Linked DNA regions of Danio rerio. The protein of the gene in region 2 binds, or shares a complex with, the protein of the main gene of each other region. Links are inferred from orthologs where the notes say so. Each region holds a gene or a part of one and is shown on either strand. Other genes may lie near its edges.

Evidence for each region. The genes of interacting proteins can lie anywhere in the genome.
Region 1: usp39 (region 2) and lsm7 share a complex: the UniProt entries of both Homo sapiens proteins name them as parts of the U4/U6-U5 tri-snRNP complex. The link is inferred for Danio rerio from reciprocal best matches to the Homo sapiens genes USP39 and LSM7.

What each region holds. Positions count from the first base shown.
Region 1 is NC_133197.1:10,400,871-10,405,218, forward strand, and holds the start of lsm7 (U6 snRNA-associated Sm-like protein LSm7), read left to right. Parts: upstream 1-1,535; 5' UTR 1,536-1,550; coding exon 1,551-1,556; intron 1,557-1,798; coding exon 1,799-1,889; intron 1,890-1,992; coding exon 1,993-2,064; intron 2,065-4,348. Other genes in the region: sass6 (spindle assembly abnormal protein 6 homolog), read right to left, coding at 509-613, 733-812, 902-962, 1,113-1,177. UniProt on the Homo sapiens protein: Plays a role in pre-mRNA splicing as component of the U4/U6-U5 tri-snRNP complex that is involved in spliceosome assembly, and as component of the precatalytic spliceosome (spliceosome B complex).
Region 2 is NC_133180.1:74,850,164-74,854,269, reverse strand, and holds the start of usp39 (ubiquitin carboxyl-terminal hydrolase 39), read right to left. Parts: upstream 2,801-4,106; 5' UTR 2,726-2,800; coding exon 2,674-2,725; intron 584-2,673; coding exon 505-583; intron 1-504. Other genes in the region: si:ch211-283h6.4 (UPF0561 protein C2orf68 homolog), read left to right, coding at 3,154-3,263.

The DNA.
Region 1 (4,348 bases), on a different chromosome or scaffold from region 2:
TTATAATCGTTGCATCCCTGCTCTCGATGTGCTTTTAGCTTTGATTTTTGTGCAAAATAACAAAAAATTAACATTACAAAAAACATGTTAGTGTCCATTTTAACCATACAAGAGTAAAATTCTTAAACCGTTTATTGCTATTATTATTTTTAATATTAAGAAATGCTTAAATGACATTATTTGATTTGAAATTTAGAAGAAAAAAAGAAATGTTTTCAAACATGTACAGACAAATACAAATATAGAGTTTTCAAGGGGTCTCTTTATTTTTTCCCATAGATAGATAGATAGTTAGATAGATATTTATAAAATTTTATATAAGTTTCATTTCAAAAAGTTTATATTTTTGAAATAAACACCAAACAGTATTAATATTTGACTCAGTGAAGAACCAATAAGAAATTTTTGTCCTGAGGTTGACTAAATCATCAGTAATTATTGACTTTAGCCTGTCTATCACTTTAACAACTGCAACATCTGAACATTATTATGAATTATAACCTCTTACCGTGGGTTTTCTTTGTCCTGTTCGCAAATGCACTGTTCAAGTAAGTCTATAAATTTTTGTGGGAATGATGTGAAGTCTATTAAAAGCCCTTGTTGTACTTTTAAGCTGTGAAGAAGAGCAAATAAAAACGATTACACAGAATATAATCACATAGAAGCCTAATAGCAAAGTGTTGAAAATAAATATGGCTCATTGATGAAATGACACTTTTAATACCACAATACCTTTGAAAATCCTCCTCTGATATGATAAGGTTGTATAAAAAGTAAAGATCAGTATCATCAGTCAGCCGTACAACTAAATCCTGTTGATCAAAAATTTAAAAAAAGTTATAAGACCACATAAAACATGCTTAAAGGCATAAATATGGTTGTACACATGTTAATAACAAACCTTTCTGTGAACAGGGCTGGATGGTAACTGCAGTTCAATGCTAACGCGAATAACCGAACGCCTGTAGTAACAAAAACAACATATATAAACACATATAGACCCTTACAGACTTCGAAATGTTAATAATTACAGACAAAATAAAGCCAAAATTCATACCATAAATCAATTTAAGTTAGGCATTGTGTTCAAAAACAAGACAATCAACACAAACCTCTCATCGGTATCTTTACTCTTCACCAGCACCTGCAACCGCTTGTTAAAAAGTAATTCCGTCATTCCTAATTCATTCACAAAGCAACGATAATAATTAAAAATCGTGTAATCCTGTTTTAAAGATGTTATTTAGGTTGTTGAAAGACTCATTTGTTTTTCGCGCTTCACTCCCGCGTTTGTCCGTTTCCAACCGGAAGTGAGAAACACTTCAACCTAATCACGCGTATCATCGTATTTCAACATGTTTTTGTTTTTATAAATCGTATAATATAGATATAAACATTTAAAGCTGTATATACTGTGTAGTTGTGCGTGAATAAAGCTGATAAAATTGAAAACATTTGATATCAGAGTTCACCTGCGCGCGTTGTGATTGGCCGAGAGGTAGACGTCAAACGTGAACCCGGAGTGGGCGGGGCGTAGAGGAGTTTTGAACATGGCGGTGAGTAGCGCAAACGTTTCCACACCGTTCACATTATAAACACTTTTAAGGACAAACGGCGTTATAAACAAACATATAAGCACCTGAATATATCCTACACTCTTGATATTTATGTTGTTACACATTAGGGTGTGCTGGTAATTGTAAATGTGATGTGTGGTGTATTTTTGTGCTAAGCTACGAGTCTGATATTTATTATAGAGGCCTGGAGATTGTTATATAATATGTTTTTGGATCCTCAGGACAAAGACAAGAAAAAGAAGGAGAGTATTTTTGATTTGTCGAAATACATCGACAAACATATACGTGTAAAGTTTCAAGGAGGTCGCGAAGGTGAGGGAGTTGCTTTATGAAATTAATTATGAATTTAAATGTTTCACATTATGATATTTAAATGAATTGTGGTAAATTTGACACTAGTGTTTCCTATTTTCAGCAAGTGGCGTCTTAAAAGGCTTCGACCCGTTGTTGAATCTTGTGTTGGACGGCACCATTGAATACATGCGAGGTAAAATGTGCTAATGTAAACCGAATATGTACCAAATTATGTTCTGCATTAAATTTCTCACAGTATTAATGTTAGTGTGGTTTGTTTTGAACAAATTTTAGTGTAAATGCTGCAATTTAAATTATAAAATTAATCAATTTATTAAATTATAAATTATATAAAGCAACATACAAACTCTTGTGGGTTGACTGATATATAAATGCATCTAAATCAACCCAAAGAGGACATGATGCCATGATATTAAACATAAAAAGGCAGAATGCTCCAGCATAGCTATTTTTGTCAGCATAACAATGTTGCTCCTTACCGTTCAGTTCAGGCATCAGAAACAGTCTCAGCAGATCTTCATTTGGGTGTGTGTGAGCCAGAGGAAATTCTGGTGTTGGTTTGACACATTTAATATGGTTTTCTGAGAGAGTTTAAATGCACTTGAAGTTAAATAGTTCACCCTAAAAAAATGAATACTGTCATTGTTAGGCATGGGCTGGTATAAGATTCTGACGGTTGATAACCTTAGGTTGAAATATCACAGTTACACAATATCATGTTATTGTACATACTGCTCCAAAATATTTTATTTTTAAATGTCTGAGTAAAAAAAAAACTTTTCCCCCATTGAACATGGTTTATATTTTTTAACATTTAAAATATTTTGAAACTATAATGTCAGGCTAAATAATTTATTGTTTATTAATTGTTGAATGTCATTGACTTCTGCTGTCTTAATTAGTTTCAAAAGCACAGATTTCTTTTCAACTTGAAAAGGCATCTTTGGATATCTTTCTTTTCTTTGGATATAAAAAAAATCATCTACACTGTTCAGCTCTACAGCATGCTGGATGTTGGTTTATAAGAGATTTGTTTTTCAGATGTTTCCTGAATCATGGTAACTTGTGATGTGGATGGTCCTTTTCTATTGTTGCCCAAAAAAACTCAATAAAATAGTCGTAAAAAAAAAACTTACAAATACCTTGAGAACGGTATAACAGACAATTTTAACGTTTTTAAAACCTTGACTTTTCAAACCGCGATAAACCTTAAAACAGTTATTGTCCCACGCCTAGTCATTGAATACTCACCCTTTATATGTTTCAAACCTTTTTGAGTTTCTTTCTTCTGTTAAACACAAAAGAAGATATTTTGAAAAATGCTGAAATCTAGTAGTGAAACGGTTAGTTTTCGGATAAACTATAACTAAAAAAAAAACAACAACAGGTAAATAGAAAAACACAGATTGAGAAAGCTGAGACACATATTCCTGAATGTGATAATATGCACCGAAATGTGTCGGGGGACCTGAAAATGTAATGAACCCGACCCTCTGCTTCCTGTTTAGAGGTGGTGGTGTTGTCAAAGAGCTGAGTGTTTTACTTTAACGTCCTAGTTGTATGATTCCCTGGTGTTTGGATAATTTTAGCTTTAAATGCTGACAACACCACTGTCTCTAAAAAGAAAGCTGCCCCAAAGGTCCCCCAAAACATTTCTATGTGCATATTTTGGAAGTTGCATTCACGTTACTAAACTAATGACGATTAATTCTCAGTTTGTAAGTGTTTTTCTATTTGCATGTTTACACTGCATTTGTCCTCTCTAGGGCACCGTATTTAACTGATTAAAAAATGTGTGCATGCACATACAGCAAACAAGTGTATCTAAACATACAGAATTGTTTTGAAAATTTAAAGTCACAGAATCCACCGCGGTGACTGAAGCTCTGCACATGACTTTTGGTCAGCGGAGAAATTAAAATGGTCGTGCCCAACTGAGTCTGGTTCTCTCAAGGTTTTTTTTCTTCACTCCTATCAGGTGAAGTTTTTTTCCCCTCTCCGCTGTCGCCACTGGCTCGCATGGTTCAGGATTGGTAGAGCTACGCATTGATGAATTTGCTCTTCAGTGTTTGAACTCTCAGTAATGATTTTAAATCACACTGAACTGAGCTAAACTGAACTGAACTGAACTTAAACACTAAAATCTGAACTACACTGTTCCGGTTACTATGACCATTAATGTGAAGCTGCTTTGACACAATCTACATTGTAAAAGCGCTATACAAATAAAGCTGAATAAGCTGAATTGAATGTCATAAATGCAGCTGCTTTTCTGTCAAAAATCAGAGTATGAAAGCTTGACAAACTAGGACTATGTATAATTTTTTTGTTTGGTCCAAACAAACTGACTAAACTACAAGTGTTAACACATCCGAAAATACGAAAAAACCCCGCCCTAAGAGTAAAGACATCTGTGTTTGACTATTATCATTATATCAATGGTTTTATATGATTTC
Region 2 (4,106 bases):
GTAGTGAAGCACATCTGCATAAAATGTAATTTCTGTGTTCAGCCAATGCTGAAACAATAATTGAGGTAAAGTTGATTTTATATTGGCACATTCTGACTTTCTCCCTTAATAACATCTTTTTAGAAAAGTATTATTTGCAAATTCTAAATAGGGAAATCATATTAGCAGCCAATGACTATCAAAGTACAGCATTGCTAACAGTCAATTAAATAGTGCTAATGTTGTTTTGAAGTCATACTTGAACACAATTTTAAACCTAATATTTAAATTAGCCTAGTAAACAATACAGGCTAATATACTATATATATATATATATATATATATATATATATATATATATATATATATATATATATATATATATATATATATATATATATATATATATATATAACAAACATGCCAATATAAGGAACTTTACCTCAATTTAATAATATATTGTGCAGCCCTACAAAGCACACAACAATAAAGCAATAAAGATATATACAAATCATAATAACAAACCTGTTGATTGTGTCGAGATATGGACAATGGCGGCTTCTGCGATCTTCAACATAACCACGACCCACTTTCACACGCACTTCTAAAATTAGCCAAAGACAAAATATAAGAATTCATAACAAATCACAGCTCTCAGTTGTCATGTGGTTCTCTGTTGGGTAAGATTTCTCAACCAACTTCCAACGATATCCATCGTCGTCGTAGGCGGTTGTTGTTAAATATCAATTTATTCATAAAAAATTAATTAATTGTAGCCTACCGTTTTAACTACCTGACCCACATAGTCTTTATAACAAAACCATAAATAAATAAAAGTTACACAAAAATTACCACCTGTCAATCACTTTTTTCCCGTGGGACTAGGCAGACATGAATAGGTAGAGTGATCTGTGCCGTTCTAATGGCTTTTTCCCCACCGCTGGTGGAGGAGACGAGAGTTTGTTTGGAGTTCAGTGTAATTTGTATTGTGATTGATGATAACTTCCTTATTTTATAATTTTTATGAAGAAATAATAACAAGTAAAGATGCTAGGGTTTGATCGTTTGGTCGCATATGCGTCCGAAATTTTATCTAAGCCACCTTAAAAATATTAGGAAGCATTTGTGCGAGTGCATAAATTTTCACTGTTTTCACAACAAAATCCTCACCGCATGCGCATATTTAGGAGACATTTATGCAGAATGCATCTTTGCACCTAAAATTGTGCATTTTTGTCAGTCTTGGGGCAGGACTTGGTTTACTTGATATCTCTCACGCTATTGGTTACACCCCCCCCCCCCCCCCCCCACCCCTCCCCCCCCGGATTAATAAAGTGACTATGTTGAAAAGAAAATGAATAATAATATATATATAGCAATAGTTATTAAGATTAAAGTATACCTTTTATTTAATTTTAAATAAATGAGGATATTATCCACGGCAACTTAGTAACACAGTTTGATATATTTACCTTCAGCTCACGGCCCTCAATCAAGTTTGGTTTTTGGCACTTCATAATAAAAAGGCACCCATGGTTTAGAGCTTGGCAATTACCACTTTCCAGAAGACAAAAAAATGTATCTATTTATCTATTATATCTACAGTATATTTATCTATTATATCTACAGTATATTTATCTATTATATATATAATGAAATAAAACTAATGTAGCTCTAGAAAACTTTAGGCAGAACTGGGACTTTAGTGCATCAGAGAAATGCCCTCATAGCTTTTTATAAAGAGAATTTTTTTTTTATAATTGAGCTGGTATTTACTCAAAAACATTGTTGGGTTACAGCTGCACCACTTTCGAAAATAGTAACAGAGGAATAATACAAAAGTTGCTGTTAATATTACTATTATTATTACTTATTCACACATTCATTCATTTTAACGGTCCTCATATCGTTTACTATGCTAGTTTAAATATTCAGTCTGAAATAATAATAATAATAATAATAATAATAAACAACATTTAAACCAGTTTTGTCTGACACATATATTGTATTTTAAAAGAAATAATCCTTAACGTGTCTATATATGAAAAATATTCATAGCAGTCATATTTAATACAAGTGCAGTGTCTGCTATCGTTTCAAATGACTTTTGTGTAAATTAAACATTCGGTTGTAGCATACCACTATAATTAAAAGAAATATAATTTCAGAAAAGTGGTTATTGTAAATTCTAAATAGGGAAATCATATAGCAACCAATGAATATCAAACTACACCATTGTTTACGGTTAATGAAACAGTGCAAATGTTGTTTTGAAGTCATACTTGCATGTTATTTCAGACCTAATATTCAAATTATCGTGGTAAACAATATAGGTAGCGTTAAAATGAACGAATGTGCAAAGATAAAGCCAACTTTACCTCAATAACAAACCTGTGTTTCATTTTGCATCTCCAGTAAACGTATCTTAAATGAAATAACTTAGGTTTAGATCTTTGACCTGGAAACCAAAATATTATTTATGCAAGACATTTATTTAAGATTTAATGCCACGACTTTCATTGTGTGGACCTTCTTACGTCTATTTGAGGGCTTTATTTTAAGAAAGAGAGCTTTGAAAAGCCAAAATCAACACTCAATTCAAAACAGACACGATAATCTGTGTATATCTGTGTCGTGTGCTACAAAAGCTAACGTTACCAAGTACTGCTAAGCTCATAAACACTCCAGGCATACCTTCCTCTTCATCTTCATCAAAATCCCTCTCCCGTTTCACGCCTCTGATCATATTTTAAGGTAAATAGCAACTATAAATCAAGTAAATTCAGCGCTGAATGAACGCACTGTGAACGCGTTACAAAACTCCCGCTTGCACTTCCGCTGTAGAAAAGGATGGCCGACAAGCACTAAACCCCTGGACCAAAACACAGCAGAATGCGTAAACAAACACCCAATGGTGTTATCTTGATTTTTCATTGCTTATCATATAACTATATACATAAAACTGGATATTTGTTTCAAAGAAGAGCCAAAAAAGTCGAGCTAAATTGTTTTGTGGATGGAAAACAAACCAACTCGAGTGTCGCTTTTTGTCGGACAACGCTTTTGAATCACCGACCCCCAGTGAGCAGCGGCGAGATGTTATAAAGAGAATGTTTGTAGATGTGCTAAAGATGAATTCATTTCAGGAATAATTACATTAAAAGAGCAGAAAGTATGGAGATCATCCGCGATGGGGAGGGGGAGAATGCTAAATATAAGCCCGGTGGTCGTTTGGACATGAGCCACGGTTTTCTGAGGCACATCAGGAGGAATCAGATCGCCAGGTTTCTGTCCACAACAACACTCACTAGTAGAGGAAAACACTTATAATTATAATAAATGAGCATTTTAGTGCTTTACAATGCGCCTTGAAATAGTCTTTTAACATGTCAACAAATGGTTCTAGTTCTAAATATACTTGACAATCATTTTTGGGCTGTTAAAACTGTTGTGAATGTCATTTTAGTGCGTGTTTTAGGTAAATCATGGTTAAAAATGCATGAAAGTCATTATTTGTTGTTCAGATAAATAAATAAAACTCAGCAGGACACATTCTAATGGATTTAATCGCAATTTGAAACACATTTTACTGAAATAAAAACTAAATGTCAATAATGAACAACATTTATAGTTGTTATTGAGGTAAAGTTGGTTTAATAAACGCACATTTGTTCATTTTAATAGCCCTTATATTGTTTACTTGGTAAATTTGAATATTGGTTCTTAAATAGCATCTAAATATGACTTCAAAACAACATTAGCACTATTTAATTGCTCGTAAACAATGTTGTACTTTCATATTCATTGGCTGCTAATATGATTTATCTATTTAGTATTTGCTGATAATACTTTTATAAAATTATATTAATAAGGAGAATGTGTCTTTTAATATGTGACCAAATGGTTCTTGGTCTAAATGTACCTGACAATCATTTTTGGGCATGTTAATGTCATTTTAGCTGGTGTCTTTTATAAAGCATGTAATCAAGTCATTATATGTTGTTCAGAATAAGAAATAAAACTCAATAGGACACATTCTAGTGAGTTTAATCGCAATTTGAAACACATTTTACTGAAATTAAAAACTAAATGTCAATAATGAACAACATTTCTAGCTGTTATTAAAG